2 linked regions of the Drosophila melanogaster genome follow. The protein of the gene in region 1 interacts with the protein of each later gene in a biochemical or structural test. Each region holds a gene or a part of one and is shown on either strand. Other genes may lie near its edges. The genes, in order: eIF4E4 and eIF4G1.

Region 1 (4,084 bases):
AACTCGAAGGCGCAATGCTTTCGTCAGTCCGGATTTCTGCGGTTCTACTCCAGCTTAGTTCTCATTTTTCTGGCACTTTTCCTGATTGTTACCACGAGTAAAATGTTTCATAATCTGCAAGCTGTGTGGCCATATGTGGTAGGAAGTGTTATCATATTGGTGGTAAGAATACACGGACTTTTGGAAAGTGCAGAGATCGTGGAGTTGCTAAACCAAATGCTGAGAATCATGAGGCAGGTGAATCTAATGGCCAGGCACCCGAATCTGTTTCGCCTGAAACATTTGCTGCTCCTTCTTTTGGCCCTGCAAAATCTTTTAAGATCACTGAATACGATAGTGGGAATAAGTAACCACTCTGCTGAAGCTTATGACTCTTTTCTTAATAGCGTTATCCTATTAATTATACTGGCCGTCCTGCTGAGCTTTCTTCTTCAGATCACCATCAATATTTGCCTCTTTGTAGTGCTCATTGCCACGTATAGCGAACTACACCATTGCACTCGACGAATCTCAAATGATATGGATAAGCTCAGACTTCATTCTGTCCATGAAAGTGGTCAATTTATGGTGTTGGTAAAACAACTTCAAGGAATCACTGAAAAATTAATTCGACTGCGTCAAAATGTCTTTCATATTACCGTCAGAATCATACGGCATTTCCGATTTCATTGGCTGTGTGCTATTATCTACGGATTATTACCATTCTTTAGTTTAACAGCTAAAGATCAAAATGGTTTTAACTTCCTCATCATTTCCGCATTGAACATAATATTCCAGTGGACTATTTTTGCGATTCTTTCTCGTGAATCAAGAATCACCCGGAGTTTATGCACTTTTCACTTGACCAATTACCATAAGGAAACTGCTAGAACGGTGAGTAAAACTATATAATATAAACTAGTAGGTTTTTTTTTTGAGTTTTCTTTTGAAGTACAGATTGATGAATTACTACATCAGGAAATTTGGGAACGTATCACAGTCACCATATACGGCAATACACTCGACACGAAATTGCTGTTCAAACTGCTATCCATTAGTGCCTTTTGCGCGTTTGTTAACCGACTGGAGTACTTGCACATCTAGTGTCCTCAATAGATCCTGCCATTTAACTGTCAAATTAAAGTCGGAGCAGTCCTTGCTCAATTTCGATATCGTCGTTTTGTCTATTATTAGCATTCTGGGCTGTCATGTTATCGCAACTGTTGTGCACCAATGTCAATTGCACAAGTCAAAAACTGCCTCATAGATGACTTTCGAGATACTTTGCCGGCAATTACGTAGCTGTTTCATTGTTCCACCATTTCGAACAAGCTTCATAATATTTTCACTTTTATGGCAGGCAACATAAAAGACGACAGCTTTGGCAATAGCAACAACATCATCATTATCAACACCATCAAAGCCCGGAAAATTTCACCTTCTGTGACTCCACCCCCCCTCCCAACGCCGTGCCTTTCGTCTCCTTTTGTCCCCCTCAATTGTCGTAAAATCATAGGAAAAAAGAAAGGAGCCAACGGAGGCGAAAAGTGTGAGTGCGTAAATTTCTCTCTGGACTCGGAGTCGCTCAAGTGTCCTTCCATTCTGTGTCATAAAATTAACGCTTTATATGAACGAAAGCATAAGGCGCTCGATTTTTATCACCAAGGCCAACAAGATGGCCATAAACGAATCAGGAACATGGAAACGCAGAGGAAAAAAATAGGCAGCTAAGTATCTACAAATGAAAGTGTAATTACAAAAGATTTATACTGATTTTTAAATAAACTTATAGCTAAATCTATATATAAATAAAAATGTATATTTTCCCAATTACAACCCACTTCGTACTGTTATTTTCTGGCAGTGCATAAGCCCATAGCGAACCTTATGAGAACATAAAGAGTTAAGAGTTGAATTAGAAGCAGAAGAAACTGGGACCGAAGTACGTTGGGTAGTAAGAGAGGTGGTCCAAAGAGTGCCTAATTATTTACGTGCAATGAAAGTTATGAATTGGGGAACAGGTCAAGTCGGCGAGGGTAAAAATACCCCCGAACCTCCCTATGCCTTTACTGTCTGTGTGAATGGCTTCAGTCTGGTTTCGTAGCCAGCCCCTTATACACATTCTCGTGTTGTGGCTGTGAAATCGTTTTTCCCAGGTGATCTGAAATTTTATTAGCATCCATTGTTATAAATTTGAATCAGTATAAAAGATCATTCGCCAAATACACTCAACCATGCTGACGACCCAGCAGACCGAATTCAAGATGATGGACAACGGCACCGAGACGCTGGCCGATTCTCCTTCGAGTTCCAGCGAGGATCTGAAAACGCTTTCGGATATGGATATTCGCAAGCCCGTAACGGAGATTGTTGATTTGCGCCTTAAGCATCCGCTAGAGAACACTTGGACACTGTGGTACTTGGAGAATGATCGCAGCAAGAACTGGGAGGACATGCAGAACGAGATTACTAGCTTTGACATGGTCGAGGACTTCTGGAGTCTCTACAATCACATTAAGCAGCCATCTGAGATTAGAGTGGGCAGCGATTATTCTTTGTTCAAGAAGGGCATTCAGTAAGATTGGCTAGATTTATATACATGATTACCGATTTCCTATTCATTGCAGGCCAATGTGGGAGGATGATGCGAACAAGTTCGGCGGCCGTTGGGTCATCAATATGGGGCGTGGCTCCAAAGCGGAGCTCGACAAGCTTTGGTTAGATGTGGTAAGTAGCTATTGGAGCTTTGTGTCCATCGCCTGTCATATCAGTTGCAACTGCACAACCTCTTTTCTGCCCACTGACAGCTACTCATACTGATTGGCGAGGCCTTTGAAAACACCGAGGAAGTCTGCGGCGCCGTTATCAACTTGCGCGGGAAGAGCAACAAAATTTGTGAGTATTACTGAAAAAAAAAAGATGTGCATGTGCATTAAAAAAGCTGGTTACAAATATTATATTTTACTAAAAACATTACACATGTTTTGTTTACTTCGCCAACCTATAAATATTAAGTGGTATACACCTAGGTTGGCTCTGTTTTTTTTTTTTAAACATAGTTTACACATTGTAGTTTTGTAGTGTACTCAGCTTAAGTAGCCAGTGGACACCACCATGACAACTACTAACCCAGCGCCTTTACTCCGCAAGCGATTTGGACCGCCAACGGGCACAACGAGCTGGCCGTCATGGAGATTGGACTCAAGTTACGCGACCTGCTCGTCCTGCCGCCCCACCAACTGCAGTACCAGCTGCACAAGGACACTATGTGCAAGCAGGGATCGGTGATCAAAGCGGTTTATTGCGTGTAAGCCGTCTCCGTTTTGGATGCCACCCACCACTCCATCCACCAACCACCCACATTTCCATGGCCGCTTATGCCTCTGAATGCTGTTTCCAGCGCGTGTATCCGAAAAATATAAAAAAAAAAATGTATCTTGAAACAGAACTGGTTTTATGAATTTGACCATGTTAAAAATTGCAAAGAAAGATGTAAATACATAGTGTTGTGAATGCATATACGACGAGCCATCATTAAATTCCCCAGTTTTTAAGTCCCAAGGAGCTCTTTTTATGCCGCTAGTTGGACCCTTTATGCTCCACAAAATGTTATGCAAACATATGCCGCACCAGAGCGCAAATAAAATGGTTTATATACACTTGCAGTTTGTACTTTTGGCCGGGCCAGCTAGAAGTGCACAGTGACTGCAAAAGATAAACGTCCACTTGGTTCGCTTGGCTGGCCGAGCGAAAAACAAAAGACCGAAAAGGGTCAACAATGGCCACGGCGGATTGTCCGTTTTAGCGAGTGCCACAGTACCCGGCGCTGAATCTCTGGGATCTCTGGTATCTGGAACTGGCGTCGAGGGCTTCCAAAATGGAGACAATTGAATTTTGATGAAAGGCCGAACGAAACGCCGTTGCCTCGCGCAGTATTAAAATTCATGCTATGAGCTTCGAGTTCGAGTTTGAAAAGAGACTCTTAATTTGCGTGTAAAAAATGTTATTTTAATAATTTAAAAAAAAACCTATTAAGTACGTTTTTAAAGTATCTTTGGTATTCTAGTATCTATAACCATTATCGAATGACAAAGCTGTAGGTTCC
Region 2 (5,187 bases), on another chromosome or scaffold:
CTCTCTCGAATTTTTGTTAGAGAGCGAGAGAGCGGAGAGTGCTACAGCGAACAGCTCTTTTCATCGCATAAAGTGATAGCAGACAACTGTATGTGTGCACACGTATGCTCGCTCATGCATTGTAAATTTCACAAAATATGCCCTTCACCTTAGAAGTTCTTTGACTTTAAATCTATATTATTTTTGATCAATTGGCACCATGCGAAAAATTCTTGTTTTGCATTGCCTTAACGTTATTATTATATGAAAATAGATTAGAAATAGCCAAATCTATGTACATATTATCACAAAAATAAATTTCAAAAATGACTTTATATAAGAATATTTGTCATTAGAGTATTCATCTTGCGGCGTGTGAAAAATTAATAAGGCAATGATTGTTGAGTGCTTGTGTCCGTACTTCGTGCTTCAAGATATGAACAAAGCAAAGACACTAGAATAATTCTAGTGTCTTTGATATGACTTTTGCAATAAACAGTTATCATATTTAATTATTTACTATATTTATTATGTCATTTGACTTTATATGATGTAACATTAACATTAAAAGTGTTTAAAAAAAAAAATATTTCGCTTTCTTAAAAAATTGTCAGATGAGAGACAAATTAGAATTAAACATAAATATAAATGTGTAAACGGTAGCTAATTCGAGCGGCGATTTTAACAAACAAATTTAAAAAGCTTTAAAATGATAATAGTCAGTTAAAAATTATTTTATTTTATCATATTGCTACGAAATTGGCAAAAACTACCCTAATATGTACAATGTAAATTCGTTTTTTCGATCAGAATTGATTTCGGTCCGAAAATCGTCTTCTAGCACAACACGCACACATATATGCGTTCTCGTCTCTTGTTTTTACTCACACAAGCAAGCAAATTCTATTTTTAGATTTCTTATGCTCTCAGCGGGAGCGAGCGGAAAGAGAGCAATTTTGGCCGTCACTAAAAAATTGGCTGCATAGTGCCAAACCAATGTATGGCCGCTACGCATCTTGTTATTCTAGTGTCTTTGGTAGAACTATGCTTGGAACAGTCTTTATTTGTAAGCTTATTCGTGGGGATGTTAAGAGTTCTGACTTGATTAGTCGGCTTAACTTCTCAGTTCGAAGTAGTTCTCAGTAGTAGTTCTCAGTTCCTTATTTCAGTTCTCAGTTCCTTATTTTAAATCATTGTAGATCTAACTATGAGTTGCGTGACCCTTACAGAGTATTATGTTCTGATTATAATAGACTTTATCCTAATATCTGTAATCTTGACTCTCTGCCGCTCACAAAGCAATTGATTTTACCTTTTTTTATTTTATGATTAGATCCTACTAACAGTAATATTTAATATAGTTATTTTATATTATATTCATTTCCTCGATCCTGTTCTCTTTTTTATATCGCGTCTATCCTCTCGCTAATCGAGGCGTACGATACACGGCAGCGCCCCTCGTTCGGTTGGTCGGGAGGTGTCGCCGTTGGACCCGTGCCAAAAAAAAAAAATATATAATAATAATATAAAATAATTGGGTCTGAATACGGATTATTTTTGTTTTGATTTAAATTCTTTTATTTATCGATATTTTGATGTAATATAGAATCGTTTTTTACCAATTTCTTTATTGTCATATGTATTTTAGTCAGTGTGAAAGGGTCTTATTTTGGCCATAATTAACTAATTATATTTTACGTTCAAGAAACCCTAATTACGATGAAATTAACATTTTGTTTTAAAGTTGCCCATATGTTGTATTCTTAGATATAATGATCTATTTAGCCATGTTGCGGAAAGGGCTCATTATCAGGAATTGAACGCTGGCATAGCATGTACAATCATTATTATAATTTTGGCAAACCTCAATAGAATAAACGTATTATGAAGTAGTTTTAGTAAATAATTAACATTGAAATATGATTTTTTTTTTATTTTTAAAAACTTATGGTTAGCAAAAAATTAAATTATTAATGATGAAGCGTTTAAAAATGTGACCTAACTATCGTTGATAATGATATTCTTCAGTTATCACTATTTCTTGTGTGCTATCGATGTTTCAAATAATAAATGCAACTCTGTTCGTATGAACAGAACACATTGCATGTGGAAATTATTAAAAAATAGTTTTTGAATGTAAAGATAAAGCTGGAATTACTGCTTCATTTTTATAAATAAATACATTTTTAAAATACACTTAAAGTGGAATTCTTAACATTTGTATTTTTTGTACATAATCACGTCGGATAGGCACATACAAACATTTGCTCAGGTAAATTGATGGTTAATAATGAGCACTGGGCAACAAATATTACATGATACTTTGCAAGTTTACTGTGCACAGTGAAGGGAAAAAAGATTTTACCACTAACATTCTGAAATGTGTCTTAACTTTTTAAAAATGATGTAAACGATGGAATTCGTGGCACGTTTTCACCATATGCACCATTGTGATTGTGAGAACGAAATCTCCAAAGTCACAACGGCAACGTCGGCAAATAAGTAAGGCTCCAGGATGGATTGGCAAATGTTTAATAGAAATTATCTCTGGGCTTCAGCTCTAGACTTAATAAATTACAAAATGTCTACTTTATATTTTTGAAACATTTGGGTGAAATCTTTTGTGATATTTAATGATTTTATACGTGTCAGTTCTTTTAATTTCAGAGACCTCTCTGGTAGCTGTATATCAATATATTTCCAGGTAAAATATGCAGAACTGAAACGTGGACAATTAATATTCATTAATATTCATTAAAGAATCAAATGATTGAATGACGTCGTATTTGTGGGTCCAAAATCACCACAGAAATCGTCTATGAAACGGTAAATCTAACCGTTTGGCGATTTCCTACAGAGCTAACTCTAGGAATACACATACGTAATGCAACAGGCTATACCAACTTTACCAACACAATCAGATATAGATAAAGCCATGCAGCCCCATTCAGCACAAAATATGGTAAGTCGATATAAAAATAACATCTCCAAAATTATTTACATATATACATTTTGACATTATTTGCTGTATTACTTTCCTTGCAATTGTTTTAAATTAGTTCGTTAAATAAATATGTTTTCCTAGTTCCGAAAAGAGCTAAAACCTATTTTTTATAAGTTTGCCTGCTGTAGTCAATGTAAACAATCTATTAAGATAGTATCACACTTCTCGTACAATAACAGCAAAGTTTAAAAAGAAAATGCTATTTTTGTGGAATTTTTTTATATGTTTGTTTTATAAATATTGCGGTTTGTATAAAAGGTATATAATTCAATTAAAAAATTTATAAAATATATGTTTGCGATTACAATTATTTAAGTTACTTACTAAATGAATTAAAAAATTAAAAATTTTTTTAACGAACTTGATTGAATACTAATAATTGTTCTAGTCCTGTAAAGCTACATAATTCATAAATGAAGCTCTTCCGGGCATGGTATGAAGTACTTTATTTAAAACCTAAACTATAAAAAACCGCGTTTTTCCAAACATACATAAATCATATAGTTTTTATCGGTAAAAATATTAATTAAAAAAATTTTTATTTCAACGGTGGCTCCAAAAATGGATGCTGAATCTGGTTTGTTGGTAACTGGCAGACACTCAGCAACGTAATTTTAAAGCTAAACTCAAAACGCATTGTGATTAATCTATCCAAGGGAAAAAAAATATTCGAAATGTATTTTATTATATTGATTTAAAGGATTAATGATTTCACATATCCAAGTCACAGAATCAGTCCATATATAATAGTCCCTAATATAATAGTTTCGTTGTTTTTATTCATAAAATGTCAACTTGATATTGTATTTTATAGTGATGTCCTTTTGAAGGGCTTAATGATATAAGGCATATATTTAAATCGCAGTAAAAGAGATATTTGGGACCATATAAATTATATATATATTCTTTATCAGTATCAGCAGCCGAGTAAAATAAATATAAAATAGTCCAGAAGATAATAGCTTCATACTTTTTATTTCTGAATGACAACTTGATATACACCGTTTTTTGACCGCGTATAACTTTGGTTTTAAGGCTAATTGTCAACATGCCGGCGACGACTAAGGAGCAACAGTCGGAAAATTAAATGAAGCTATAACAAAATAAATAATAGTTTAATTGTTTTTAATCATTTAGTGTTCTTATTTTGTACGCACAACTTTTTTTTTATTAATTAATTAATCTTGTAATCTATCATTTGAACTGTGTTAGACAGCTAAATCCCATAAACATTATTTGTCCATAGGGGACGTAGGACAAAAACTCTAAACCCTAATAAAATTATCAAACCCAATGCATGTTTTATATATATTTGTTAATTCTGGATTTATTTATCACAAAATTTGAGGCTGAAAAGTATTAAAAAATCTGCATAAGTATAATATTCAAATTTCACAGTGCAGAAGTGTAATACTACTCAAAATTCCGATTCTTGATTTCTCAGTTTCATTTTATTTTTAAATGGGTTTGTTTTGGTTTTTTTAATACTTTGTTTAAGTGCAATAAAGTAGGATTAACCAATTATCTAATAGTTTTTATAACTTATATATTCGGCAACATTTTTTTTTAATCATTGTTAAATCAATTTTACAGTCCGAAAATGTTCCCACTCTTGTGATCTGTTGTAGATTTTGCCAGCCAATAAAAAGACCAAAAAGTATGATCAACAGGTGCCAACTTCAAAGCCACAATCTCTTCATCAGCCTCTTCAACCGCAGCATAGCCATCCCACTGCTCAGCCTCAGTTTCAGATAAATAAGGCATACAATGTGGTCTCCATTCTTAAGGCATCAGCGCAGATCGCTCAACAGTCCCCACACTTGACGAATCAGCAGCATCCACCAATCCATCACCCACAGCAAACACAGCAGCATCAACAAAGCTATACAAACGTTGTAAATAGAAGCTTATCTGCGTCTGAACCAGTTAGAGCCCAGTCATCGGTTATCTGTAACGGTTCAAGCATATTGACAGTAAATAGTAGACAACTGAATTCGGGTGATATGAATTCGACTGCCATTTATAACATATCCAGTTACCGAAAATTAACTGGAAGTCTAGATGGAAATGTTTGCTTTCTAAATGTACAGGACATTAAACAAAATGGCAACATCAGTGGGTCAGTAGTATCAAATAAGTCCATCGTCGGAGTCGGAAGTGAAAAAAGTTCTTGTACTGGAGTCAGTATTAACAACCAAATAGTA

The links.
Region 2: the proteins of eIF4E4 (region 1) and eIF4G1 form a complex in vitro, tested with the Drosophila melanogaster proteins (one study listed by BioGRID).

Annotation. Positions count from the first base shown.
Region 1 is NT_037436.4:6,663,637-6,667,720, reverse strand, and holds eIF4E4 (eukaryotic translation initiation factor 4E4), read left to right. Parts: upstream 1-2,079; 5' UTR 2,080-2,213; coding exon 2,214-2,554; intron 2,555-2,606; coding exon 2,607-2,706; intron 2,707-2,786; coding exon 2,787-2,874; intron 2,875-3,129; coding exon 3,130-3,290; 3' UTR 3,291-3,497; downstream 3,498-4,084. Other genes in the region: Grl65a (gustatory receptor-like 65a), read left to right, coding at 1-873, 937-1,083.
Region 2 is NC_004353.4:927,576-932,762, reverse strand, and holds the start of eIF4G1 (eukaryotic translation initiation factor 4G1), read left to right. Parts: upstream 1-2,047; 5' UTR 2,048-2,251; exon of another isoform or gene 2,252-2,481; intron 2,482-2,631; 5' UTR 2,632-2,683; intron 2,684-2,739; 5' UTR 2,740-2,863; coding exon 2,864-2,941; intron 2,942-4,611; coding exon 4,612-5,187.